Linked DNA regions of Styela clava. The protein of the gene in region 1 purifies or fractionates together with the protein of each later gene. This does not show direct contact. Links are inferred from orthologs where the notes say so. Each region holds a gene or a part of one and is shown on either strand. Other genes may lie near its edges. The genes, in order: cysteine-rich protein 2-binding protein-like, histone acetyltransferase KAT2A-like, transcriptional adapter 3-like and WD repeat-containing protein 5.

Region 1 (7,888 bases):
TACTACAAATTTCTGAAATCAGATGTAACCTCATGAAAAGATATTTTCATGGATAACGCCAAAACAAATATAGACTCCGCCCACTTTGACTACTTGCTAACCGTCAAGAGCAAATAAAAGATAGCTAAAACAGCATCATTTTTGCTTTCAACATCTGACATAGTTCATGAATTTACTGAATACTTTATTTAAAATCCTACTCTGTTTTACTGAAACATTATTTTATATTTTCAATGTTCAGCTCTGCGCATTTACCTGTGTTTTAGCTCGTTTCTCTTTAATTTGTGAGGCGTTGAACGCAGATGACAAATAAGATCTTTTTCTTAATCCTTCTGTTCGTCCTAGACTGGGTGAAGGAGTCATTGCTGATCCAGATTTAAATTTTTTTGATCTTCCTTCTAAAGTAAACAATAATAAACAAATGATTTGATAAACATTGGCTAACCTTATTAAATATATCACACAGTCAATCAATAAATCAGTCAGTAATTGAAATAAGTAAAAGTGCTGTTCTATAAAAAAAAAAAGTTCTAAAAGCTCTGTGCAATTCTATATCAATAAAAAATATTATAATTGGATTGGCAAAATTAAATCAACAAATTATTATATTACAGAATATATTGGTCTTCTTCTAACCTCAGTGCTGTTTTAACTACAAAGCAAGACTTTGTTGAATAAAACAAAGAGAAAATAGCAAATAGCAGTATGGTACCGACAATTGTTGACAATAAAATATTATTTGAAAGAATTTGTTTGTTGACTTATGATCTGATACACGACAAAATCGATGAGCAAAAAAAAATATTAAAATACCTCTGAACCTCGAATCACTAGATGGAGTGTATTCGGGGGGTTTGGTAGGATCAGTTAGTTTCCACCATCCTGATTCCTTGAAAAATCCATATCCACTTGTAAATTGATGAGGGTTGCCAGCTGACATGGTTGATGCAATGGTATTCATCCAAGCCCCAACTTTCATCCTGCTGATAACGTGATATTACACAAAATTATTTGCAAAATCTTCTTATAAGTATCCTTGCAGAAGTATTTCAATAGGAAGTGGCACAATAGCCTATAAGCAACAGAAATATTGGTGTTGCAAATTAATTAAAGGTCATGCAGACCACCCTAAGACCACACCTCACGGTGATGTCAAACTGGAAGGATTTCGAGCCTTCTAAAAACAGTAGCTCCTTATGTACCAGTGGCTAATTGTACAAAGTCTGCCGTAAAAAAGCTGCATAAAAACATTTATACCTGTCTTTTTACAGCTCTTCAGTTTTTTCTGTAAAATCTAATATTTTAAATGGGAATAAATTTGACAACAAAATTTATAAGGTAAACTCACTATGACTCGAACAATACATCCCAATGAGTTTCAACAAAATCACAAATATCTTCTTTCCATTTGAAAAATCCTTGTTTCCCAGGATCAGATTGGGCCATGTTAAAAAGAGAGAGTGCAGTTGCCTGGTTCCTGTCAAAATTAATTTGGTGACATAAATAATATAATAAATAGAAACTGTTTTTTTTTTTAATTTGCTAAATAATTGGATGAATGTTTTTACAAAATATCAAATGAAATTCCCATACCATGTTATTCTCATTCTAATAAAACTTTCTTTTCCATCTTCAGAACAACTTATGCATTTGAATACGTAGTAATTATCGAACAATAGAGGGGATGGTGATTCTGAACGAAGGCAGCCTGTCATAGAGAATGGAATATATTAACGAAAAATTCCAAAAGCTAACTTCTAAAGAAACACTCAAATCATTGCTCATCTCAACTTTCATGCCTTCAAGAATACATACTCATATTTGTTAAACTTTCAATTTTTTTGTTTCAAAAATACTATTTTGGGATGCATTTAAAAAAAGTTGGTCAATAAATACATTCCAAACAAATATACCCAATCTCTGTTTCTCATAAGAATATTGAACAAATATAATAACAAATCAATAACACAAATTTGCAATCTTCAAAAACATCAATTTGAATAGCATCCATATAAAACTTTTTACATAATTACCGGTATGTTATATATTTCTTCATGTTTAAGAAAAAAAAAACATTCATTTTATAATCAAAAACGGTATAAAATAAAACCCATATGTTACAACATACTTGTGTGAACCCATTTAGCACAAGAACTGCAATGAAACACAGGTAAGCCTTCTTTTTCACAATCACAATATCCACATCTTGATGAAGTTGTCTTTGTAGAAGGCTCTGCTAAGAACAAGAAATAATATAATACAAAACACAGAAATTCATACATGACATGAATGGATCAGTAAAGAAATCTGCTGGGTCATATTCATTAAATCACTGATGTAGGATACCAAGATATGAATAGTGCTTCAGCTTTATAAACATTAGCCATTGACAAGTGCAATTGGACTAAGTTGCGAGCACTCCATAACCCTACTTACAAGTGTAGGGGATCGCGTACCATTTGCAACAATAATAAGATAGTTTTAAAAAGAAGGTGTAGGTATAACCAGCTCAATTAATAGAACATGTTTTAACATCAAGCTAAACTGAACATCAAAATTAGTTACAAAGTATTAAAAATTCCTACCAATTACTGATTGATACTAGAGGCTAGTCTGTGGCGCAGCCAGAGGGGTGCAAAAACGTAACCTCGAGTTATGTTGAACACAATTACATTAACAGGACAAGACATTTTAAATGCTCGTATCGGTTGTGAATTGAATGTATTGCGCAACGGACAAATCATAATCCGCTGAAAAAGCCAGCTTTTTATTGAGTGGCGAAATCATGATGACCGTTTTAGTTGCGTGAGAATTTCAAATTCCGATTTTGGATCCCCTAGACTCTGGCTAGGGTATGAAAACAATCGTGTAAGATTTAAATTATACAGCACAAACCTGTAGCGTCTTCTGTTGTAGTTACATCTATCTGTTCTTGGTCAGACATTGTTGCGATTTAGCCTAATGATATTAACTACATGTAGATAATAAATAATTGGAAGTGTTAAAAACATGAACTACGTGCACAGATTAACAGTGGCTAATCTACAATTGAACAAGCTCTCTCCTACAACCTTTTTTATCACCAAATCTATTAAGAAACGAGAAATTTTCAATACAAAAGGATGAACATTTTACATGGATTATTGAAAAGGGTAGTGTAAGAACTCCTAAAACTTGTGTAATAAGAATTTGAATATCAAAAAGGATTTTTGAGACCAATTTTTGGCAATAACTCAATAAGAACGGCAGTGTCATAAAACAGTGGGAAAATATCATACTGTTAGATTTCTCGAAATCAAAATTAATTGAAAGGAAGAATTCTAGATGGCAACAATATCCAAAACCAAAACACAACGCTGAGTTACCATTCATAACTATTCAGACATGGATATCCATGGCAATCATCTTAATCACAAAATAGGAGACAGCTTAATTAAGAATATTGGTCAAAAACAAAAAGCTAACACATTGTTTAGATTGCTAAAAATACTTTAAAATTAAATTTTTCCCAATATTTTTTTACATAGATGCACGATATACTGCATAATAATTATAAATATATTAAGTGTAATGCAGGAGAATATTGTTATACTACATGCCATATCACATCAGAAATATTATAGCTATGCCTATAAATATCATATTAAGCATATGGTTTGACTTGTGTGAGGTATAAAATGAAGTGTTGATGATATTACACAAATCTACAAAGATTTTACTGACACTTTTTAGAAGTATCAATACGATGCCAGCCATATTGATATAATATATTTTATATAAAGTTATTATCAAAGTTAAATAGTACATAACAATTGCTCTATATTTAGAAAAATTGGTAAGGCAGTTGGAATTAACAATAAAATTAAAAATTCTCTCATCAGCACCTAAGCATAGAAAGAAAACAATGACCACTATGCAAGTATAAGCAAGGCACAAAACCAATAAAAATTAAAGAATTGAAGATGAAGCAAATGATTAATGGAAGTTAATAAAAACTTAACTTATTGGACACAATCTTTTTACATTTTTTAGAATTGTACTTAGATAAAAATAAATCGTAACAATGTTCATTATATATTTGGGTGGCACTTTTAGCTTAAGCAGCTTTATCATGTCAAAATATTCTAAATCGGAAATATTTTTTCTTTAAATTTTGAAATACTATACAATAAATGATTTTTAAACATAACCTGTTTGAATAATAAATCTCACGCAAAACTGAATTTTTTTCTCCAAACTAAACTCATTTTAGGCTACAAAACCACCCCTAGATATGCACCTACATATTATACACTAATAGTACAAATGTAAATAATAATTTCTATAAGTTGGATATGTCTCAGTGCAATGAAGATTTGATTTGAAGTTCAATTTAAAAATAACTAATAAAAATAGTTCATTAATAGATTTCCATCATAAACTTTGTGGTTGTTTTTTTGGTTTGTTCTTTTCCTGTTGAGCTTTGAACGTAAATATTGAATAAACGATACTGCCGACAACACTGAAATGAATGAAAAAAAATTTTTTAACTCAACAATGATGGTGGTTCTGAAATAAGATATAGGAAATGTACAAAACGAAGCCATTTAATCCCATGAAAGTGTTCAATGCTTAAAAATAATTTCAACTTTTGTTTGTTTGTCTATGATTGTTTCAGTAATTTAGGCAATTCATTTCAGTAATTTAGGATAAGAGAGATTTATTATTTTGTCAGCCAGAAAAAACAAGCATCACAAGTTGCAACAAAAATGAAAATATACTACAACATACACAAAGTTTTTTGGTATAGACTGTGGGGAGCGATAGGACCATACTGTCACCAGAGTCAGCATCCCCATGTTTGCACAAAAGTCACGCTCTCTTCTTTTGGGTCACCTTGTATTATTGCAAATAAATGCTTTATAGAATAGTAAGGAAACAACTTTAATCGCTGACCTACCTTATGTTAACGCCAATAAAATTGATCCAAGAAAATAAATAATCACCACCAAACATCATTCCAAAATATGTTATTGCGATATTTTTTAAACAACCGACCACAGTTGTAGTTAATGCGGAATTATAAGCTGTGCAAACTGCTATTGAATACATCAAGATGAACCTGAAAAAAGCAATGTCATCTAATTAGTAATAAAAGGTACAATCATATTTAATCATTTTGTTTGTTTGTAAGTTTATGCAATCCAATCGATAAGGAGTTCAATGCCTGAATGAATGCAAAGAATGAGTAAACTAAAGATATTAAATCACTGATCAATTAACTACATTGCAAAGTATTTATATCATTAGGAATTTAAGTTCAAATAATCAATTTGTTGTTTATCAAGTAGAGTTTCTGTTATTGTGAAAATGAGGGGGATTTTGTGGATGAGCAGTATATTCAAAACGAGTTTGTATCACATGTTATGCCTATGCAGTTTATCAAGAATTAATCAATCTTGCGATTTATTGATCATAGTTTTCATCTCAGGGACTTATTAGCTATATGAAGAGTTGTTAGCAAAAGTATTTAGTAGCGAATTTTAATTTAGATAACAATGACATATAACAAACAAAAAACTCACCCCATTACGCATGAGAGAAGAAATTGGAAAACGAATGCAAATTCATCCCATCCTTGATAGGAGATTCCTTTCTCTAATTCACCAGTATAATAAAGAATACAGGCAGCTGGAACAAGCATTAATAAACAGTTGTAATATGTTATGCCATACTTCCCAAGATCCTGAAAATTTTAGAAAAAGAATGTCATAACATAGTTTAATTCATGAGCTTAGCTTGAAGTAAAAAAAATACACACATATAGCCTACATATTTATACATAGAAAAGTAAGAGCCAATTAATGAGATAGAAGAACAAAGCGTATCAGATTTATACTACAAGAAAGTGGAATAAAGGTTTGAACAGAGAATAAATGATAAATAAAACACATTTTCCTCACAACAATGCTTCAAATATTCAATTTATATTTGAATATATATTAATATATATGACTAAGCAGATCAGGTAAGAGATTCGGAAAAGTATTTATTATAAAAAAAATTCCTATAACAAACTGTGCCCTGCAATTCAATTCAACTACCGGTAGGTAATTTTTTGAGTGATGAAAACTGAAATACCAGAATTTTTTTCCCTGGGTCCAAATCTAAATAAGTTTAGAATATCTTAAAATTGGGAGCAAACAATTTTTCTTTAAATAAACAACTTTCATGCACAACAGAATGCATAATTTCAGATACCTGTGCATTGAGAAGTTTCTTCATAAAAACTGCATTTAATGCTGTGAAAACATCATTAGCAATAATGAACGTATATCCAACCAAATCAAATGCAAGATCATCACTAAAAATAGAAAATCAGTAAGATCAACTTGAATACAAAATTATACAAATATATACGAAAAAATAATCAGATATAAAAAGGTACTTATCATTAAATTTAATATTAATTCTTGTATAAAACTATACCCAAACTGTAATTGAAACAAGTTGGAACACATTCAAAACGTTTTTTTTACTCCGTGCCAGGTACCCTATTATATTTTTTGATGCACAATGTATTCAATTATTGCAAATCTAAATGTATTTGCAATGCATATTATAGATAATACATTGTCAAGTTTAACAGTTATCATACACTAATTACTAGAAGTAAAAGTAGGTATGTCAGTCATATTGAAATTGATTTAGAAAAATTACTTTCCTATCACGGTATGGAAATTCATGATATCAATCACCAAAACAAAATATGAATATGACATTATATTATTGTTTGTAGAAACAAACTAAATATACTATAAAACTATAACAACATCCTGATTCACCTTGCAGCAATAATTGATCCTCCAATCATCATCAAGACTGTTGAGGTGACAGTTCGACTTGCTTTCTTCCTAATATTATAGGAATTAAAGGGTCAATAACAAATACATTCAGATTCTTGATATAATTACTAAAATATTTCATATTGCCAAATTTAATAGTGAGAGACTATATGGGAAAGTTGTACATTGACTTTTTAATACTACGAATCACAATACAATGTAGTAATGCCAAATTTTGAATGAGGCACAAAAACTAAAACAAAAGCAGAGTGAAAAATATTTCTACATGAGATATACCTGAGTACAAAGAACTCTAATATCAATGTAAACAAAATAGAAAATCTTCTTAGTACAGTAAACATTGGAAGACTTAGTTTCTTCGTTCCTCCCAATCCAGCAATCAAGTTGGCGAGATATATGAGAGGTAGAGGAAAAATCTGGAAATAAAAACAGATTCGGATAATAAATATAGTGGAGAGCATGGGTGACATCTAGGTGAGCAAGCATAAGGTGAGCGAGCATAACTATTCCACTCCTATATATTTGGAATCTTATTGCAATGACTTGACTAAGAATGGGCAATTCAAAAATCAAAATACAGAATCTGGAGGATCCGTTAATGCAATTCAGTTTAAGCATCCTTGCACCATGCGACGATTTTTGTAATTTGAATATCTAATTTATTAATCATAGAATAGCATTTTCTCTTGCGTTGAAATCTCTCTTGTTAGGTAGTACTCGAGTCCACTTGCAAAACACACATAGAAGCAGTCGGCCCCAAACACAGTATTGTTAGTCTGCATATTCAGGACAAGAAGACAGTGATAAATATGTCACTGCAAAAACTCGGTATTGCATCATTTTTACGTTTTTCAGCATCATGATATAGTTGGCAAATGAAAATAATTATTGGTGACACTGGCATTTTCTAATTGAAACAAGCCTCAATTTTTGACAAACACATCATATTTCTCATACATTACATGATTTTGCGCATCCCATGAGTTAACCCAATAAATGTATGTGACCCAAAAACCAGATGTTGATGTTAAAACTTGATTTAA
Region 2 (7,763 bases), on another chromosome or scaffold:
ATATACTGGGTTGGTTGAATGGTGGTGAACCAAGAGGTCCCTCTATCACTGGTTTACTTGACTGAATGATGCATTTTCTTAACAACTGAAACAAAATAATCAAAAATAATAAGCTGAGTATCCAACAGTTAAATAATTACTTAATTAGCATGTGATGACCGATGACTAGCAGTTAAAGCGGTAAACTTAAAATCGGTATGGCCGTCGCCAACTTGTGTTCAAATCTCACACCCATTAGAGCAGCGATTCCCAAACTATGGGTTGCGACCCACTGGTGGGTCACAAACGGAATCTTAGTGGGTCGTGAAAAGATGTAGAAAGCATTGGTTAATTATGCTGGTTATTAGGATCGGTGGCGACTCGAATACGCAAATCTTTAAAAAAGCAAAAGAAATTAAATTGAATTTAAATTCTAATCTGTGAAAGTTTCTTTTTTACGATCTTCTCAAAAGAACAAAAATTTGCTACACAAAGAATGACCATGTGGCTTTTTTTTTGCATAGCAGTTTTGTACACTGCACAGCACTTCTTACCGTGTTTCCCCGAAATTTAGACAGAATTTAGATTTATTTTCTTTTGAAGGATAACACTACGGTTTTTTTGGGGAAAGGGTCTTTTGTGTTCATTTATTGAAAAAAAAATTATATTGTAGAAAATCACAAGATGTTTTACTAAACATTATATAAAAACCGACATCCATTGTTTTTATTTGTATTTGCTATACAAAAATCAAGTGACAAATATCATAATTGTGATATTACACAATCTTGAATAGTGGTGTGATTTTCACCTTACCTCAGGCCAATGAACCTTTCTTCTCCCCACAAATTAAAAATTATTTTAAGGGTAGGGTTTAAATAAAATCATTTTGAAAATTTAAATTATTATCTTATTTTCAGGCCAGGTCTTATTTTTGAGGAAACACAGTAGTTTTGCGGTGATTAGCCATTGCTGTGTTTGTGTTACATCATAAAAAAACAAAAAAAAACTGAATTAGAGTTAAGTGGGTCGCCATAAGCTGTGGTAATAAATAGTGGGTCCCATCCCAACTCCAAAAAGTTTGGGAACCACTGCATTAGAGTGTATTAGGGCTTAGGCGACATTCAACCACATAGATCCTTCCAAAAATATCTCTCCTTAAATATTGATATATATAATATGCCGCCACTTGGTGGTTGTACAGAATAATCAGTAGAAAAACATTGCGATTCTCACTCTGAATAAATAGAAATAAACTTGTTTGGAATCACCATCTTCTTCCTTCTGAACACATTGAAAAAGATTTTCAACATCAACAACCATTCCTAATAATCTGTTGATTTCATCTTCTCCTGAAAAAGTATTAAAACAAAAATTTCATTGAATATTGTATTGCCTAGTTGCAATCTTCTTCAATGAATCAATGTGGACATAAATATGAGTAGGACTATACTAAATTCTATCATATTGTAATCATTTAATGAGCAAAATCTATCATTTAATTAAATCAAAAATGAAAATTTGAAGATAGCAGAGATATTTAAAAGCTTATAATTTATTTCTACACCTAACCAACGAGATAATGTTTAAAATCAATTCAAAGTTCACAAAACTAAAATTTTCGACGGAAGAGAAGTAAATTATCCGTAGGCCTACATATCATGATTTTGATCCCTAAATGCATAACAAAATAAACACATGACATAAACTGTTAAGAATGATGCATACCACTCATTTCCAAATGGGAAACATGATTCTGCAGAGCATGTGTACAACTCCTGCATTTGCTTTCTAACGTCACTGTGCTTTGAACCTGAAAAACGAATAAACAAATCAGTAATGGCATCAAAAACAAGTATTTTTCACAAACACTGCAAAAACTTGGAGGTTGCAAATTGCAGATTGAGTAGTAATCACCCGCCATTCCGATCTTCATCCAGAATAAGTATCCTTTTCATCAATCTTATTTCTTTAATTATCACACCATAGAATCAATATGAAAATCCATTCCAATGTAATATATTATCAATAGTCCACCAATATTTTGTGAAAAGTTGGAAGATTTGGTCTAGTTGAAAATAATTGCCCAACAGAAATAAGGGATTATGCTAATAATTTTGAAACCAACCTACCACCTTACCTGTTGTGATGAAGATGCATCAGGTTGAGCTGTTGCTAATTGATTGTAAGGATTTTTCCAACCGTTGCATTTACATCCTTCATCCTGAAAAGTCAGAACAAAATAAATGAAGCAATTAAAATAATTTGACATATGATGAGGATCGCTAGGCAATGGCACAATATAACCCGAGAATCGGATTTTCAAAGCTGTAGTTTATCACAATGAACCTTAGTCATTTTTGAACCTATCCCATGTGAAAAAACACAAAGAGGCATGAACCAATTTTTTTATCGTTGGGTCTTGAGAGAATGTGGTCACAAAGATGGGAAGACTTTTTGTATTATGCCACAGCATAGGCGTTGGTACAATTGTCTGATGGAATCCGAACTAACTGTGTCTGTATAAAAAGTATACATGTAGCCTATTATATTCTCCATAATGAGAGTTTCAGTATAGAAATTTCATATTTATACTGAGGGTAGGAAAGCCAACAACTGAATCAAATTGCAAGCCACGGCCTCTTGTCTGGTTACCAGTCCATGCCGGGGGCTACCTATGACAATGAGTAGTCAAGTGATCCTCTCAGTCTCTCACACATAATTCTTATAATTTTTACCAACCTATAGTAAGATGGATGGGATGTACCAGACTTTAAAAGGAAAGGTTGAATGAACATCATTTAAAAAAAAATTGATCAGCACTGATGTATACTAACCTTACATGATGAGTAAACACCAATTTTCTCAAGTTTCTTAACCCGTGGATAACCTCGAACTTGTGCCTTACGTTGTTGGATTTTTGCAAGGTTGGCAGATCGAGCTAGTTCACTTGGGACGAACGACTGCCGAGAAGATTTCTTTTGTGACGTCTCAGCTTTCACATTAGTTGAATTATCCATGTATGTTGGCTATATCAGTATTCTACAAATAGGTGGAAACATAAAATGTAAGAAATGGAAAGTTAAGGAAACGTGTCATCTATCATCAAAGGCATCAGGATCAGGACATTTACAAAAATTGTAAAAAATAAACAAATAATTGCACATTAAAAATCATTTTCATGTAAGAACATGGCTGATCAGTAAAAAATACTTATGCAGACTAAGATATTTGTCTTATTTGCAGAACAATGCAGCAATGTAGATTTGGAGTTGGATGTTTTTGGCATTGGAATTGGATCAGTGTTAAAACTTCTCGGAACCGCAGACAAGGTCGAAATATCAAATTTTTTGGTTTTGAAGTTGACCTTCCAGAATCAAAATAGTGATAAACAAAATCGAAATTTTAGACAGAAATTCATAAAGCATAAATCCGCATTGTAAACACGTAATTCATAAGTCTTGCCAAAACCCAAATTTTCGTACCAAAATTTAGTTTCATCAGAGTTCGAAACTGGAGTCTTCAGGTAACATTTTTGTTAAGTAGGTGTCAAGAGCCAATATTTAAATGAATAAGAGTTTGGAATCAGGTGTACGGTTTCCCAGAATCCGAGTCCTGATAGGCTAAGTATAACGATACAAACAAAAATTTTATGTTATATTGGCAACACTGTAATTTTCTTTGATAAAGTTTGCTTCTTAAAAATGGTTTCACGCATTATGTTATCTAGTTCTTCCAAAGCAAGCTGAGCATGTAGTTGTACCGCAGTATCCTCATCTCTTTCATATAAAAACTTCAATGTTCGATACATTTGTTTTGTAACATTAGAAAATATCTGTATAAAATTGCTACCAAGTTTAGTTATAAGATTACGAATAGCATGCACAGCTGCTCTACGAACCATAGGATCAGGATCCGATTTTGCAGTACTGCTGAGACACTCATTTATTTCTTGTTGTATTTGAGATAAATAATATGGTGCCATAGGTGCAAGTTCAGAAAAATTTGATAAACAACTTGCTCTCATGTCAGGATTAACATGTCTAGAACCTTTCAGAAACTCTGGTAATAGTATAGAAGCGTGATACGGTCCCATATCACCCATATGCCGAATTATTCTCATTATAATTTCACCCACTTTCATTTTTGCATCAATGGTATTATTTGAATTATTTTTTTGGGTTTTGGTTTCAGAATCTCTCATAAATATATTGATTAACTTTTTTAGGAGAGACTCTGAAGCAATATTGCTTACAGACAAAGACCCGATTACTGCTAAAGCTTGTACAGCAGATAAATAAACAAATGAATCCTGGTTGTCCAAGCATTCTACAAAAATTTCAACCAGTTTGTCCAATTTTTTAAAAGCAATTGGCAGTTTTCTTTCAATGCATTTAGTCAAATAACGAATTGAACCTCCTTTTATGGCAGGACTGGGGTCAAATACTTCATCTAATGATTGAGAAAATGATAGATTGAAATCTTCTTCATTAGCGATAGAATCAGTCACTGAAGTGGAATGAGTCTCTTTACTACTATTCTTAATGGTATCTTCACTACTTGAAGACTGATCCCTGCCAGAAGAATTCAAAACAGTATCCCGATCTGTATCAACAAGCAATGGTGCTGCTTGCGATGGCAATGTAGTTTCTTCATTACATTTTGGTTGGGTTTCTTTACTCAAATCCATATTTTCAAACTTTTTCATTTGTTCTTTCATTAATACTGAGAATGCATCCATTGAAGTTTCATTTACAGCGCCATACGTTGATATTGCAATTGTAAGATCCGACAACAAATCTCTTGTATGTTTATCCAAATTATTATTACCGCATATTTTTTGCAACAATGGAACCACAGACAACAGTTCACTCTTTTCTTCAGAGGTCATATCGCTCATTAGACATATTCCCAATACACTGGCACAAGTTCCTAACATTTCGAGTGAATTATTATCCAGACTTTGCAACATTGTTTTGATAAAGCTAATTATTTGAGAAACATCAGAAAGTAAAGTGTTCGGATTGTATGTCTCACACATTGTCGTTAATAAACCGAAAGTAATAAATCGAGTCTCGTTATTTTTCAAAGCTTGAACAGCTCGATCTTCAGGTGTCATTATAATTTTGTCCTCATTAATTTCATTTGGAAAATTTTTCGATGGATCGCAAATAATTTTTAAAAGTGAAATAAACACAACACCAATAAATCCGCTATTATCCATATTCGATAAAATGTCTAGCAATACATTTACTTTAATATCTTGATGTTGTAAGACTTCTGAAGGTTCAAAAAATTTGTTGTTAGCTATTGGACAAACGTTTCCATTTGCATCCACTTCAAACTTCAGATTAATCAATGGAGTTTTAATCCCAAGTTCTGTGCTTTTAATTTGCCCGTACATTGAAAAAAACATTTCCTCTGCTTTCAAGTCATCTGAACATTTTAAGGATTTACATAAAAGTTCTTTAGTCAATAAGTTTAGATGAGAAGAAGTTTCATTTGTATCACAAATCAACTGAAAGAATATTTTCAAATAGGGTTTGATGAGTGCAGAAAGTGCTACATCAGGAACAATTCCGATGGAAATACAAATATCATGTAAGTTTTCAATGCAGTCATTTATTTCTTCAGAAGAAACATTTTCATGGAACATTTTTTCTTTTCCGATTGTAAAACAGCATTCCGACAAAGGTTTACATATGATACTTTCCAATATATCCGATTCTGAATGATATTTTTCGTAAAGAGCATGCAGAGTAGTAACAGCTACTTTTCTGACAACATGCATAGCTTCAGAATTGTCTTTTCGCGAATCAGAAATCAACTCAATCGCTTGATGGCCAATCGAAATACAATATTTTTTAGCAGGAATACCCTTCGAAGGAAGGGTAGAAATAATTGAAGAAAGTGCAACTATATGCTCCCATCCAGCAGTTTTGAAATCAGAATCGCGCGAGTTTTCGACAACTGCAGAAATAATAGCTTTCATGCCCTCTTTTTCCAGCAATGTTCTTGATAATATTGATCCACATTTCTCTCGCAACCATTTTGGCGAAAGTCTTGTTTCTGGGTTTCCTTGTAGTACAAAAATCTCTTGTATAAGACGGCTTTTTGAAATCCATGATTCTATTATTTCATTAAGAACTTGTAAACATCTTTTTCGATCTTTCATGTCTATTAATCTGGCGGAATTTGGAGAAAAACATAATTGCATATAAGATGCAATAATCTCAGGTAATAAATTCTTGGTGACTATGTTTCTGATTTCAATGGCTTTGCAAATAACATGGATAAATAAGGAATTCTCAAGAAGCATTCCATATTTTTGTCTTGGGGTAAATTCAGTATAGAAATGTGAAATTTTTGAAATCATAATTCCTTGTATACTTGGTTCAAGATGAGATACAATGCCAAATTTGAACACAAATTGCAATAGGCAAGACACATGATCCACATCTGCGACTGATAAATATGGTCCTTCAGAAAGATTACCAATATTCTCAAGTTCCTTACCAAGTTTTAAAAGCAGAATTTGTATACACTGTATAAACTTTTGTAGCACAAAATATACTGATATTTTTGCCTGAGATTCAGAAAGTTCTACACTGTCAAACTGTATTTCGCTCTCTTTCAACAAATTGATAACAGTTTGATACATTCCTTCCAGGGTATGTACATCACCACTTGAAACTTCATGTTTCAATCTGATAACATCAGTGACATTTGCAATCACAGCCTTGATATCATCCATTTCTCAAATTAGGCAAAATAGATAGAGTTGAACTGCTGGACAAAAGAGGAATTGAATTAAGTCAGATAATTTCATATTTTATATGCAGGTGAAGACAGTTCAGAGACAGAGCATTAGTAACCACTCTACTAACTTTATGAGATTTTCACAGCTATATTAACCAACGGCTGAAATTCTCTGTTGAAAATAATATTCGATCTATAATTGTCATGCAGCCGACTTTGAGTTAGGTTGGATGTGCTAAAACTAAACTTTCGGGTCATGAGGTGGCATAAGACAGTTCGAGTTAGGAGTTTGATTCCCATTGCAGCCTTGGGAGTTGTTTAAACAAAATAATAAATAGATATACAAATACATCTGTAGGCTACATGTAAATTTCAGAATTTATGGGACATTTGGGCATAAGTTATTCATCACAATTCTGCAATTAGACAGTAGATATATATATACTGGCCATACTATGCCCAAAAATTCCACATGTCAGCATTTATTTGTGTATTATTCGGTTAATATTTCTGAATAGACTAATCTTCAAGGGACTGAAAATCCAACTCATAATAACGTCTCTTCACCTTGGGTACGGAAATTCTGTGGGCCCTTAGTGGGTGGGCACAAAGGTCAGTAGATTATATCACTAAAACTGGCCATGCATTTTCAGACCATTCAAAAACTAATGCCCCACTATCCATCAGAGTAACCCCAGCTAGCCCACACTCACGCTGCAATCAAGGGGTTAAAGTACTTGCGATCACGGGGTTAAAGAACTTTTATCCTTATCTTATCCTTATACTCACTGTAAAATCGCTATTCAATGAAACCTTAGTTGGCTGGACGAGCAGACTAGTTGGGGTACCGGTATCATTGTTTGTATCAACAAGTTACGATACATAAAAGTTACATACTTTTAGTATTGACGTTTGCAGTTTTGATATTTTTCCACATTCACCAAACTCTTGGCAACTCCTGCACCCTAGCACTTCACAATCATTTTTTGCAGTCGATGGTCAATTCCAATGTTTTGTAGTCTATA
Region 3 (7,938 bases), on another chromosome or scaffold:
TGTACTTGACCAGTATTACAATGAGGTATACCAACAACAAGTTGCAGTTCCTGTATCTCACGAATACACCCCAACAGCAGTGTTCCCTCTTGTACTCTTTTGCAATGCAAAAAATCCACATTTATTTCATCCATCCCTTGTAACAATCCATCCACATCTTTAATACCATGACTTTTGATTATTTCATCTTTTTCTTTTGGTTTTTTCTTTTCTTTTGTAAAATGCCCACCCGTAGATGACTTGCTTCCTTCTGAAAACAGAGAATCAACTGCGGCTTGGCGTTTGGCACCCTTCTTCTTAAAAGTCGATGGTTCACGCTTTGCTTTTCCTCTCGGAAATAATATTTCGTCCATAGTCGAAAAATTAGAGTTACGAATGTAATTTAACTTTTACCAAAATTTCTGCTGTATAAAAAAGATAAACGAATAAACATTAGGAAAGAAAAAAAGGTTTCTGTTTTACCAAAAAAAGTCAATTTTTCTCAAAATTCCAACAATGTGTAATTTGCAAAGATAGAGAAACAACAGTAATAGAAAATAATACATACTCACATCACATAATATCATATTAATGAGTTCTCATGTCTTTTCAAATTAGGGTTTTAAACTACAACTCGTAAGTTGTGATACAAGATATTGCAGGAACAATTGACAAACCAAATTACTCAGCATCTATTCAAAATGACCATGGTATGTTTAGTTTTGATAAACAAAATGCATATAAGATTACTCAAAAAATTTACCATTGTCAGGGAAATGTCATGATTGTTTAAAATATGAAACACGTTATTGTAAAAATAGACCATTTAGATTAATTGAATTCTAATTACCGGTATTGATATTTCAACATCCCCATACACGATAGAGGTTGTGTGCATGGGTATGTTTACCACGAGTCCAATTAGATTCAAACCAAACTTATAATCTGTAACTGTGCGTTGAATATAAATCAGTTCAATTGTTCTAACTGTTTGACCAAACTTTCTCGTTCTTTTATAGCTTTCAATGCACTTTCTTTTTCCTTTTTCATCAAATTTCTTTTTTTCTGTCGAGCAGCAAAAACCTTTCTGTAATGTTCAGTAACTTCAATGTTTGTTATTTCAATATTTTTTCTCAATTCTTGTTTTTTCATATCATCTCTGGAAAGTTTCAAAAGTTGTGAAACAATTGTCCTATTTCTATCACCTATTGCCCTCAATTCTTGTTGACATCGTTTCAGTTCCAAAAGAACTTCATCTTCATCTTTATCATTTTCAGAAAAATGATCAATAAGACCTTGTTCATATAGTTCAGCCTTTATTCGGGCCTCCAGTTTTGTGGTATGGGGAGAACTAGATGCCTTGCCATTTTTGGAAGCAACATTTTGGTCATTGTTCGTAAGAGCTTCAAATGCTTTTCCATCATTGGCAAGACCAGAATCCAGTGGCGCTATTATATTTTCTTGCACGAAAGCAGAAACCAATCGCTGGGTAAGTGACCCATATGGGCATGGTTCTGCATCATTCAAATTTTCTGCTGTTTTTTTCATTATCCTCTGAATAGATGACTCAGTATTACTATTATTTTTTCCAATTCTACCCCCTTCTTTTTCCTCCATTGCCAAATCTTCTTCTGCCCAAACTTGACTGAAATGTTTGCCAAGAGGGGGAATTTCAAAATATTCCTCAGAAATTGGTTTTTCCATTTTCTCTAAAAGCGAAATTGTTTCTTGTGGTATGGGCCCACAGTATGTATCAACCATTTGCCAAAACTTATTAGGAACTTCAGCATTCCTTTGTAAAACGGGTAATTCGTCATTTGTTTCTGTTTCAATGCGAGAGCCTTTTGCCTTCGACCTGCCAGCACCACTTGGTGATGACGTTGAACTATTCAAATGAAATAAGGGTTTTATAGCATGAATATGAGATGATGAGTCTGATGTTTTCATCTTTTTGACTGGACGATCTTCAACTATTCGAGAGCGCTTATGCTCAGTATCTTTGCCTCTGGAAACTTTTTTGTCTTTTTTATTGTCTTGTAGGTCTGACAATATGCCAATCTCCGAGTTCAATTGTCTCATCCTTTGTGATGCAGCGGCAAGTAGTTGTTCCAACTCCATTTGTAAAGAATCTAATTCATCCAATGATACTCCATCATCTTTATGCCGATTAACGATATTTGTGTATCTTGGACAATTTTTAGCATGATCCACAGGCTTCACATCAGGAAATTGTAAGAAACAATCTTTCAAGTCCATTGCAATAATGTTACTGTATTATACAAATGCCAATACTATATCAAAAGTATGGTTTGTTAATTAGAGATAAGGTTAGAACTATTAAATATGCACCATTTTATTTAGGATGCATGATTGCCAATCAATGAATAGTAAAAATTAAGGTTGCAATACACCTTGTTTTACTGGACATGTTCTGATTTTCGCCATTCAATTTATTGTGAAATTGAATGTATGTAGGACACAGTGCTTAAATTCCAAGATGTTCCGACATTTGATTCAATAAAAATAACAATATATGTATCTGAATGAGGGTGTTTGACACTACGGCAGGCAGATCACGTCATGCTTGTCTCAATGATAATTTAAATCAATAGCAACGTGCGTGATATTCTGATAAAATTTATTTCCTTTGATAAATCGAACTATTTTTTTCCGGGGTGTCCAATGATGATGTTTTGAGGATTGCACTTCTTTTTAGTTTATTGTGCGGTGCCGGTGTGCTCTTTTGTGCCGATATGAAGGCCCAGATTGTCTCATAAAAGAGGGGGTTGCATTCACTGTTATAATTGATGTCTCTTAATGTGGGGGCTATTCTTGGAATCAGAGAACTGTGCCGTACTGAACGTGTATGAAATAAAAACAATATCTGAGATTTTCTCAGGTCACTTAAAACGTATGAAATATTGCAGAGTCGATTCACTAACAGTATTTCATTGTGACTGTGAATTTGGATATTTTAGAATTCAACCTTTTTCATATAAAATGTCATTTTTGCAACTTGAAATTGTTAGTCAGTAATTTCTGCGCTTTCCAGAGTACAATTTAGACAAATTAGGAATGTCAAGGCCAGGGATTGATAGAGAGCCCTGGCAGTCTTTATTTTATGTGTCTGTATTGAGTTGTCTACTTATGTTGGTGACATCAACAAAGGGTAGGTAGGCTACATCTCTTTTCTCGGTGACTACATGAATTCAGTAGGGCACATATTTCTGATTCCAAGATATCCCGATATTTGGTTCAATAAAATAAAAACCTTATTTATCTCTGAAACGTGGACGTCTGGCACGATGGCAGATCGTGCCCTGCTTGTCTCGAAAATAATCTAAATCAATCGCGGCCATCACATATTCGAAATTGAGTTTTTTGCTAAGACACTTGAACGTTACGCGCACGCTTAAACGATATAATATTTTTTTTTTATTCTGTAATTCGGTTTATTTTTTTTCCAATGGATCCGATGGTGGCGTCTTTAGATCACACTTTCTTTTAGTTTATTGCGCTGTGAATTTTGCCGATATGGAGGCACAGACTGTCCCGTAAAGGAGGGGTTTGCACTCACTGTCATAAGTGATGTATTTTAATGTGAAATCTATTTTTGGAATTGGAGACCTGTGGAATTGCAAAGACTTTATGTTCTCTAGTGCCAGCCTCCATCTACTTTTTGTATGGGCCTCTTTTGTGACTAATCTCAGAATTCAGGCATGTCTGTCAGTAGACACACATTTCTGCATTTACCTACCGGTACCTGTAACAGTAATATGGCTCTATGACGAGATTTTACATTGGCGTAGTAAGGTGGGGTCTAGGATAGGATTTACATATCTTTATCCATATGGCGAACCACAACCTCTCGTCCGGTTACCATTTCCATGTCAGTTAGGGATTAGTGATTTGTTTTTCGGAAGCATGAACTTGGAGGAAGCCGTAACCGACCAGCAGTTACGTGAACCACCCTACGGCGGCGATAGATAATGATTTATTTCCGATACAAGTACATAATACAGTAAGCATAGCAAACAACAATAGGCATAAAAATATATACGGACGAGGATGGACAAGAATTCAAAGGTCAACCGACCCCTAAGGAGAGATTCTACCAGGACAGGACACTCTAAAGCAGGCATCATAATTACAATAAGAGGATAATAAATTTTTGAGTTTTAAGCCCGTTTAGGAGGCCTCAGAAATCAATTCCCCAAAAGTACAGAAATAAGAACAAAAATTACAAGGAACAAGAAACGGGAACATCACATAATTTCGCAGATCATAATGTTTTTTAATAGGAATAAAAAATGTGAAAAAAAAGAGAAAGAATAAGAAGGGCGTAGGGCCAATTATAATTTCCTCAAATTTAATTTTACTTTATGTTAGACAAGAATCAAATCGTGACAATGAGGCAATTTCTGAATGGGTGAAAAATTTAAAATACCATATTTCCAAAGCTATATAGTACATATAAACACTTCAGACTATTTATAACAGCATCTTCAATAATTTTCACCGAGGCATACGAAAATCCATCTATAAAAATGGTGAATTCCTATCCATTTTGTGAATCTGATAGCATACACGGAGATTTGGACGATATTGCATCATACTGTCATATTATAATCGGCCAAGGCGCCAATAAACGCTGTTTTAATTTGCATATAGGGTGGTGGTGGTATCAATCAAAGAATAAAAATTACAAATGAAAAAAAGAACATCGCATGATTGTGCAGGAGGAGTCCAGCAATCCTCACACACCTAATCATACCTGCGAACCTGCCAACCCACGCAAAGTAATCAGAGGTGTGATGGTGAGCGTATTCCTAACACTTAGCACGATGAGCCACACCGCCGCGCGCGCCTAGGAATAACATATGCGAAAATGGTTAGACCACGCTCACCCCGTACAGTCTGACAGTACGGTACCGGTACCGGTACCTATCACTGTACTGTACAGCTGTACCATGTACCGGGACTGTACACCGTCTGACTGGTACCCCCGTACCCCCGTACGGTACCGGTACCGGTACTAAACAATCATTCGCCAAAATAATTAGTTTCATTGAATTCAATAAATTAATGATACCGGTACGATTCCGTACAGCACAGTCGTGCTGCACCTGGCGAGAGCCTAGTAGTGACATACCGGTACCGGTACTGCTTAAATTACTTAAACTGTCAAAGACAATTACCACAAAACCAGGCTGCCTGCAACTAGCGAACTATCAATCCTTGTTGGGGGTGGGCGGTGTGGAGCATCGTGCGCCCGAGCAGTTCTTACCACTTCATGGCGGTTTCTGCCACGAACGAACCGCGGCGTCTCATGCCATGGTTTTATGGCGCCATGGACCTTTCCCCGAGTATCGACTTTCTTGTTTACTTCGTGACATTGGCCAATCAGCAAGTTGCAAAAAGTGACGTAACAATGCCCCCTTATACTTATATACTTATACTTTTCGCATCCGCCCAGACATTTTTCTTACTCAGACAGATTTTCAAGCGTGGTTGTAAACATTACCTCGTTTTCGCGTTTTTAAACTCTATTCGTGAGTTTTTAGTTGTGTTTCGGAAACTTGAATATAAATCAGATAATTCAATGATCACTCTGTCTTCCCAGGAGTTTTAATTTAATTGCAGTAATAAAAATTAGTGTAGAAATAGCTGTAATAGACTAGCTTGAAATCCTTTACCGGTACTTTAAAAAAACAGATTGTTGTATGCGATGAATTATAATGATGATTAGAAACACATACCCCATTTTACAGGCACCAACTCGCAAAAGCACTCTTAAAATAGCCCCAAAAATTTTGCAATGGTAAAGTATAGGAAGAATTTCCGGGGGTCAGAGGTCGGGGAAAGGTCCATTACCGCTATATTCACAAAGTCATGTACCATATACAAGTTTATCATGGGGAATTATATCTACCTAAACATGAAACCTAATCCCAAATCTAGCACGGGCGATTTATCATTTGTCTGGATCGGTACGTTACGGCTGTACGGTATGGGGCAGGCGCAGAGAGTGTTTCAGTAGACTATATTCTACGAGACTATCCGTATCTCCCATTCTTTCATGAGTGATTGCATGGGTACCGGTACGGTCAGACGGTACCGTACCGGCATCGCACGAGTGTCCAGACAACTACGCAGTTAAGCAGCATTTTCCAATTAAATTACCTTCTACACGTGAAAACAAATTTTCGTATCCAATTCTATATTCTCTTATCATTATTATAAATATATTGCTTGTGGTTGAACTTGTAGTATGGAGAATTTATAGAACATTTTCATGTTGAATTTATTGGATATTGCTCATGAAAATCAGTAGTGAGTTAGAAACCAAGGAAACACATTTGTGCGTGTAGGATTAAGCCTGACAACGTTGGTCCCAAGCAGCATCAAATTTTTCAAAAATAAAAACGCGTCACAACGATGGGCCACGAGGCGGACCATCGTTGTCAACCTTTTTATTTTCTTTTTATTCAATTTTTTTTTTTTAATTTCAATTTTTTTTGTTTTTTTTTTCAATTTTTTTTTTTTAATTTCAATTTTTTTTTATTTCTTTTTTTCAATTATTTTTATGTTTTTTCACATCTATTTTTTTATTTTCGCTTTTTCATTTTATTTTATCATTTTTTTTTTTCAAATTTTACACGTGACAACGATGGGCCACCATACAGTACCGATACGATATGAATCAGTTCGCATCAGACAAATTGACTATAGTCACTTTGGCATCAGATCATGCTGGTCTGCGTGAAGTTTATCATGGAAAACTGATCGAAGCTGAGGATAACGTGAACAGTCGAACGTCAGATGTAACGGATATTTGATGATAGATTCCATAAAAAATACTGTTTACACTTACACAGTATAAGTTCACAAAGCACAGGGATTTTGATGAAAACTAAATTTGGAATGCCAGGACGTGGAATGCTTTTGTTGCATTTCACTTCATTCGTTGTTGTTAACTTTTCACGCTGCTTTTATTATTGTCGTTATCGTCCAATAGGCTATTAGTTGAGTACATTCAGAATCACATCAATTATCACATATTGGTTAAAAATGAGAAATTCGCATCCCCGTCGGAAACAGTCGCCGCGATTACGAGCTCGTTTAAAGAGCGGCCTTCTCAGCGTAAAATGATTTTTCTGTCGCGTAAAATACTTAATCCATTACAACTACAAGAACCTAAAATGTGCTTATATATTAATTTAATTCAGCCCAACATAACTCGCGGTTGCGTCTTCTTCTGTCAAAATAAAAACAGTAGAGGGAAAGTGGGGAAGGTTGGGACACTTTTTTTCTTTTGCATATTTTGAGCCGTTAATTCTGCATATTCTCTTAAGTTTGCGGGACTAATGCATAGAGGGGTAAATGTAGTTTTTATTCAGCAACAAAGAAATTCCCTTGCGACACACATCTTACTACCAAAATGCTTTGAAAAACGTCAAGTGTCCCACTGTACCCCACTTGTGGGGCACAATCGGACAGACCCTGGGGCACAATGGGTCAGTCTGTCAAAATTCAACGAAGTATGCCCTTAAAAATAAGCAATTAATCAGCATAATCGTCTAAAGTACGGGGAGACTTCGAATTTGAAGATTTAATATTTTTAAAATCAATGTTCAACTGAAATAGTTCAGATATTTTGACAAAAAATTTTGCAAAAAAATTTGATTATTTCCTTCCTCGAATCTAAATCTGGAAATATTATTGATTCTCGAATATATTCCATATTGGGCCATGGGTCGAAAGAAACCATTATATTACATAAAATATAACGCATCTCTAGGTCTCTAAGCACTTATTGTATCAAACACTGTCGAATTGTGCCCTGTAGAGCATGTCCCACTGAACCCCGGTCCATTGTTCCTCATAGGAAACAAATACTTTCAGACCATCCCACGGCAAAATTCGGAAGGCACAGCCAATCGCTAACGTTCGGAATAT
Region 4 (7,121 bases), on another chromosome or scaffold:
TCGTTAAAGATATATATTTGTGTTAGTGTGCAGCAAGACGGTTTTTTATTTTTTTGATATGAGATATGGTAAGATAGGCAATTAAACATCGCAAGAGGAAATCTGCCATTCATGGGTGAGTTTTCTTTGTGAATCTTCACAGGGAGAATTTGTTGATATTTAAAGGTAACTTATTGTGCTTGTATATTTGATAAGGAACAAAGACCCATTCATTTCAGCTATTATTAAAACAGTGGCACTGAACTGACACACTAATAAAAGTGAACCAACTTACCTTTCCTTTAGTGTAGTCCCATAATTTTAAAGTGCTGGAATTAAAAACAAAGGAAAAATTAAACAAATGACACAATTGCATATCGAAAGTAATTCCATGTGTTGACTGATTTATTAATTGACAGAGTTCAAATACTGAATTTGATTTGTAAAGGAATGTAAAATTTTGCTTTCAAGCTATCATACTTATCCAAAGTTGCAGCAAGAATGTATTTTCCATTTGGTGAGAATTTAACAAAGGAGACTGGTGGGTTGTCATCATCTATCAAAGTTTTTAAGCATTGGCCAGATGCAGTGTCCCATATTCTGCAAAGTCCATCATAACTACTGGACACAATCAAAGCACCATCACGATTAAAATGAACCTGAGTATGGAACAGTATTAACATTGACCTCTAACAAAGATAAAACAATAAATGCCCAAATATCCTCAGCAATGAATATGTTTCAACCGTGTATTTTATGTTATATTAGTTGAATGAATAACAGTTAACTGTCTTATGCTAAAACATTTAATATATGTGCTTCACAAAAAGTATATAAACAGTATAAACAGTTTTGTATACTCCACCCTTACCACTTTCACCACACCAAACGACCCATTGCCCCACCTTGCACAACTGTCTATATAAGGGACCATAATATACATATTTAATCTAATGTTTTTTGTTTTATATTTGTTAAAAAGGGTGCATGCCGCACATTTGTGTTTTAGGCCAGTACGGTCTTGTGCATGCATCCCGTCTTACATAATAATAATCGTTCATTTATTTTTTTATCACTATTACGAGACGAATAAACATACATACATATCTCACTAAATCATAATGCAATCAGAAACCTGGACAAAATTACTTTCATACATATTTCTTATTCAATTTGATTGAGTTGAATTAATACCTCGTAATACTTACTGCTGATACAGGATCAGAATGTGCTGGTAACGTCTTCAAACATTTTCCTGTTTTTACGTCCCATATTCTCACACTTTCATCAAACTGCAAAAAATTTATAAATTAATGTCAGAAAATAAAAATTACAAGTTTTACAATTACCCCTACTTCAAAATATGTAATTAATAATAATTTATCCCAAAATCGGAACGAGAATATCGGTCGGAGACCGAAGACTTATCGATCTTAGATCGGTAATTAGTTAATAACTCGCTAATTATACGACATAATTAACCCAAAATCTATAGGCTTCTGGTCCGAGGTAAGATGCATGCACATGCACAATTTGGAGCAGATTCAACCACGCGTTCGTGAGATATCGCGTTCATCTAACAGACAAACATACAAACAGACAGACAGACAAATACCTATCAACATACTTACCGATCTTAAGATCGATAAGTAATGATGAAAGCAGGACAGTAAAAATATTCTGTTCTACCAGCCTTTTACTCATTTAGTAAAATTTCTTCTAATTACTTGTTTCATAAACAAAACTCAATAGATGAGCTTCACATTCATAAACTGCAGTTTGATTCATTCTTGAATTTGGCATGACCAAGATTTCGGATATCTTAGCTGTGGTCCACAAGACACAAATATAAATGAAATTTTCGAAAACTTCTCACCGATCCTGATACGATTAAATTTGACTGAGGGTTAAAATTACAGCAAAATACGTAATTGCTGTGTCCTTTGAGAGTTTTAGAACATTTTCCTGTGGCAGCGTCCCAAATCTTTAATGATTTATCATCCGATGCTGAACAAAGTAAATGAGAATCTGACGACCACGCAACGTCTGATATTCCCTGAAACAAAACAGAGGGTACTGATACAATAATCCAACAATGAAAAAATCTTAAAATTTCCAAAAATTAGATATTTTAAAAGAGGTCTTATTTGAAACATAGAAAACATGCCTACCAATTTATGTCCAGAAATTGTCTTTTCAAATTTACCATCATATGCTCCCCATATTTTGATCAATTTGTCTGCAGCTGTGATAAAAAGTATATAACATGTCAAATATAAATAATATATGAATCAAATTTGCACTATAAGACAACAAGAATTGGAACAATCAATACGGTATACTTTAGTTCATACCAACATCTGAGTCGAAAACATATAAAAGCTTAAACACAGTGCGTATGATATCCCACCAAATCTATCTTTAAAAAAGAGAAGACAAGTCTTAAACTGTCAAAGGATGTCAAAGTTTTTATCAAAGGATGAATCCAAGTTGAGACTGAGAGACAATAAATTTCCAATTTCTAGCTGAATCATACATTTTTAAATTTGTCAATGAATGTTCGGATAAAAACACTGTTGTCAACTGAAATAGCGAACAATTGCAAACCTATAACAGTGTAAAACAAGGCAAATATCAGATATAAATTGAGGTGGTATTGTTACTATTAAAAATAATAGATATAGTCTGTATGTTCACATCAACTATACACCCACTACCAACTCACATGAGCTTGCAAGCCATTGTCCATCTGGACTGAATTTAACAGAAGATACTGCTTTGGTATGACCAGCAAGTGTAAATTTGAGTGTATAGTTTGGCTTGGGTTGTACAGACTTCGATGAACTTGTTGATGCTGGTTTGGGAGCTGTAGAAGCTTTTACAGCACTGTTTTCTTCTGCGGGTGCATTGTTGCTTGGTGCAGGTGGAACTGAAGTTGATTCAGTCTTTGGCTGGTTGGAGTTGTTATCGCCAGATGGGGTATTCTCAGGCATTGTATATAAACGTTAGCAATACTATTAAAAACTATTTAAAAACAAAGCATATTTAAAAATTTCAAAGATAAGATTATTAATGAAACACTATCCTGCTATCCCTATCAGACTATGAATAAATCTCTTGAAAAGTCATCTGTAAATTACTCCTGTACTCAGAAGAAAAAAAAATAATATAGGGCATATGGCATAACACACATCGCCGTTACATTTAGAGCAGTAGGCATTTTACAAGTATCTATCAAATTACAACAAAAATTATAGGTATTCCAGTATTCATATTAGTTGATGATAGTAAATTCATTTAAAGAATCATCAGACAGTCAGAAGAGTTTGGCTTTGTAAAAAATGAGTTGGAAGAAATGGAATTGAATTTGCAAATGTGGAATCAATGAAACAGAATTATGACATCTCTTAGATATTAAAAAATATTACAGTATTATAGAAATATTTATCTCTAATCTCTGGTACGCGATTCCAACATACAGACATATGCTACTACAGTACTAGCTGTAAGTTAATTCCCTGTTCTGTTGTTAGCTAGAAATTCTAGCAAATTTCAGAATTTAGGAGAATGGCCAAAATGATATCATGTTTCATTATGATATACAGTTATGCATGAAACCTTCCAGCAGTTAGCAGATTTTCATTAACAGAAATGAACATCAAACGAATGAATTGCTGAACAAAATAAAAAGTTTAAAAATGAATTTTTAGCTTAGTGAGCTTTTTGGTTACTTTTTTGCTTTGCTAAGCGCTTAATACAGTAATATTAGAACGAACTGACGAGGTCTGAATGTGGAAACTATCATTTTGAAAATAATCTTGAATGGCAGCATTGTGATAGAGCCGAGTCAGTGTTGCAAGAAGAGATCACATTTCAGCATTCGTAACTTCTCCAACCCTCCCAGTACAGCAGTACAAAAACAAACGATATGCTGCAACTTTCTAGGTCAGCAGGCAGCAGTTAAAAAGTTCAGTTACACCTAATTTCACGTACACAAATGATACAGATTATCCGACGATATGCGGTAACAAACTGACAAGCGCCACACAAAAAACGACAATCAACACGCGTAGGCGGTGTGGCTCAAGGGCGCGGCGGTGTGGCTCAACGGGCTAAGCGTTAGGAATACGCTCGCCACCGCACCTCTAATTACTCTGCGTGGGTTCGCAGGTTCGAATCCCATGTAGGGATGGTTATGTGCGAGAGGATTGCTGGACTCCTCGCCGTCGTTGGGTGGTTCACGTAACCGCTGGTCGGTTACGGCTTCCTCCATCACCAAGTCCATGCTTTCGAAAACAAACAATACAGTAAAAACTAATCCCATACCCGACTTGGAATGGTAACCGGACGAGAGGCCGTGGTTCGCCATATGGATAAGCCGTCTCATCGGCTTTCCTCTCCCCCGGGATAAATATGTAAATCCTATCCTATCCTATCCTAACTTCTACAAATCTCATAAAAACAGCGCCATCGGTCAGCAAAGTAGGGTAGCGTTGCATTGAGTCTAAAATTGCAATTGTGAAGTGAACTTATGCATCAAGGTTGGAAATCCTATCTGAAGAACCAAATCGGCCTTTTCTGATCTTCAAATATTGAATAAAGTTAGATTTATCATTTGCTACTGACCGTATAAATTTGAAAATTTGCATTTTAATATGACGTTTGGATGTTTTTCAGAAATTTGCTGCTTTTGTAAGCGTATCAACCCGATGTTCAAAAAAGCTACTTCGATTGAAATATTTAACCACTTCTAAGGAAAATTACCGACAGCTAACATTAACATTGTCTATCTCAGTTTATTGAGGCCTGTTTGTAATCAAACGAAGTCTTTATCAGAAACAAAATTAAAAATATGCTCTTTTAGTTTCACCTAAATTTATGGCGCATAACTAGAAACTGACAAATGAGCGTCAAAACTCCGAAAACGAGTTAATGTTTACAGTCACGATTGAAAATCTGCCCCAACAAAAACACGGTCTGAGTGGGAGCTGAAATTGTTACGTTGACCCCTGTTGGGTGTCGGTTACTGCATTTCCCCATTCTAGGCTCAGCTGAAAATTCTGACGGCAACAAGGCAGTGTTCACGGCGATTCGGAACTTTACATTGACCTGTTGAATGTACGGGTCATACGATCCGCTGGTCAAGCAGCTTATGTTACACAAAGTTGCGGATTGAGACAGTCACTAGCCGTTTGAGTCGTTCGTGTTTTTGTTGACATAAACTACAATCTTGGCCTCTGCGTTAGCTTTGTATGACGATGCGGATTGAACAGCGAAGTAGTTCAATTAGACGCTTACCACTCCTTGGAATGTGTCCAACTAATGCAGTGGTTCTTGACTTGGGTTCGATGGAACCCATGGGGTTCGGTGGAGCTGTTCCTGAGGTTCGACGAAGGTCCTCGGAAACATTTTATATTATGGAACTTTTACATTACCTCGTCCACTAATTATACAAAAATAACTATAGTTGATCGCAGATAATAAAACTTAAACGTTCAACATCCAATAAATTAGCTTAGCTGTGTGTAAAGCTTCGCGCATATATAAGTTTTAGTAGACCCGTCGATGTTTTTAGATTCTAGTATGTTTTATTGGAAACTCATATTTTCACAGATGTCGCGCGCTTTAGTGTTTGTACTTATCTATGATTATCTATTATAACGTACTAATAAATTTATAATCAGTTTTACGAAAAAATCAAAGATTGGCGGTTAATGAATGCAAAATCAGGGTGCGTTTGAATTTCACTAGGTGGTAAATTTGCGACAAAGAATACTTCATTGCAGAGCTTTGCTTGAAATTATCATCATCCGTTCCAGACATCCTCGATATGGCGCCGAGTCATATCGTATCTCTATTTCTGTAAAATAAAACAATTGGCAAATTTTTTATCTGCATTTCAATGCAGTTTGAAGTTTGAGAATCGAATGACTTGAACTACCAACGTTTTTGAGGCATATTATCGTCTTTTGGATTTTTAAAATTGCTATTTTTTTATCCGGTTTGCGCCTTTTCACACGCATAACTTATACAACAAAAACATCAGCTTTCCCTGCCGACGGCACTATTGTGACAAAACAAGAGCTATTTACACACGGGGTATTGGTATCTATAGTTAGACCATAATGTAATTTTCTAAAACCTTGCACGAAATTAGCTTCTCATTTATAAAGTTAGTATTGGGGTCCAAATTTCAATCGTTCAGTACGATGGGGTTCGGTTAGAGCATGCCGAGTAGCACAGGGGTTTGACAGGCTCGGAACGGTTAATGGGCATCAAGTCAATTTGGAAACAATGAAGTTTTTTTTTAATTCGGCGCACGTGAAATACTCTCTACTAAATTATATATACATAATTTCTCGTGCAACACACATGCATTCTCATATGTTATAGGAAATTATGACTCTTGGATAGTTTCTAACATGAAATAAAACAAAAATTAGGCCATAGTCCGAAGTCAATTTTAAATAAGAAAGCTTGCACACGCCCAAATTTTCGCGATCGAAATTGTTTTGCAGACGTCAGCCTGAGTTATTTGTGAAATGGAATTGTTTATCCAATTCTATAGTTTTGATCGCTAATTTAAACATTTTATTCTACAGCACCGTACTTCTTGCCTGGGGGCTCCCGAAGCATGCGAACCAAGATGGCGGACATCGGAATGTAATATGTGTACTAGGTTAGGGTTAGGCCATAATTTCAGGTATAAATACTACGGGTGGCGCTTGGTTAGTCTTCGAACTGATAATAGGACTAAAATAAGGAAAATTGGAAAAAAATTATTGCCTAACCCTAACCTGTTACCTATGTTACGTTCCGATGTCCGCCATCTTGGTTCGCATACTTCGGGAGCACCCTGCCTGAACTCGTTGTCTGTTGTGTTACTGAAAGACTGTTTTGTAAAACGATGGCCGAATCTATCAGAGTCCATCAAATTAATAATCGGAAAAACAATTGGATTTACGGTACATTTTTGAGTGGATGACAATTTTTAATATATATATCTGATTTGCCCACACGATATTTTACAACACACTTGTGACTGTGGATCTAAAACATAATAGCTTGAAAGGGGGGAGTTGACTTTGATGACCGTCTGGTCATATCACTCCCTTCTGTCTATACCAAACTAATTCATTTTT

Evidence for each region.
Region 2: the proteins of cysteine-rich protein 2-binding protein-like (region 1) and histone acetyltransferase KAT2A-like purify together in Drosophila melanogaster (affinity purification with mass spectrometry; 4 studies listed by BioGRID, with this or other methods). This does not show direct contact. The link is inferred for Styela clava from reciprocal best matches to the Drosophila melanogaster genes Atac2 and Gcn5.
Region 3: the proteins of cysteine-rich protein 2-binding protein-like (region 1) and transcriptional adapter 3-like purify together in Drosophila melanogaster (affinity purification with mass spectrometry; 4 studies listed by BioGRID). This does not show direct contact. The link is inferred for Styela clava from reciprocal best matches to the Drosophila melanogaster genes Atac2 and Ada3.
Region 4: the proteins of cysteine-rich protein 2-binding protein-like (region 1) and WD repeat-containing protein 5 purify together in Drosophila melanogaster (affinity purification with mass spectrometry; 4 studies listed by BioGRID). This does not show direct contact. The link is inferred for Styela clava from reciprocal best matches to the Drosophila melanogaster genes Atac2 and wds.

Annotation. Positions count from the first base shown.
Region 1 is NC_135251.1:27,511,588-27,519,475, forward strand, and holds the start of cysteine-rich protein 2-binding protein-like, read right to left. Parts: upstream 3,015-7,888; 5' UTR 2,945-3,014; coding exon 2,896-2,944; intron 2,237-2,895; coding exon 2,129-2,236; intron 1,709-2,128; coding exon 1,594-1,708; intron 1,478-1,593; coding exon 1,349-1,477; intron 984-1,348; coding exon 814-983; intron 399-813; coding exon 256-398; intron 1-255. Other genes in the region: nucleotide sugar transporter SLC35D1-like, read right to left, coding at 4,414-4,501, 4,940-5,101, 5,565-5,725, 6,241-6,343, 6,825-6,893, 7,122-7,261.
Region 2 is NC_135256.1:13,952,786-13,960,548, reverse strand, and holds the start of histone acetyltransferase KAT2A-like, read right to left. Parts: upstream 3,012-7,763; 5' UTR 3,000-3,011; coding exon 2,817-2,999; intron 2,204-2,816; coding exon 2,120-2,203; intron 1,793-2,119; coding exon 1,708-1,792; intron 1,332-1,707; coding exon 1,216-1,331; intron 86-1,215; coding exon 1-85. Other genes in the region: transport and Golgi organization protein 6 homolog, read right to left, coding at 3,635-6,733.
Region 3 is NC_135257.1:11,362,788-11,370,725, reverse strand, and holds transcriptional adapter 3-like, read right to left. Parts: upstream 3,015-7,938; 5' UTR 2,236-3,014; coding exon 949-2,235; 3' UTR 511-948; downstream 1-510. Other genes in the region: protein RRP5 homolog, read right to left, coding at 1-353.
Region 4 is NC_135254.1:12,754,763-12,761,883, forward strand, and holds the start of WD repeat-containing protein 5, read right to left. Parts: upstream 3,021-7,121; 5' UTR 2,973-3,020; coding exon 2,705-2,972; intron 2,225-2,704; coding exon 2,151-2,224; intron 2,036-2,150; coding exon 1,856-2,035; intron 1,272-1,855; coding exon 1,188-1,271; intron 639-1,187; coding exon 460-638; intron 309-459; coding exon 275-308; intron 1-274.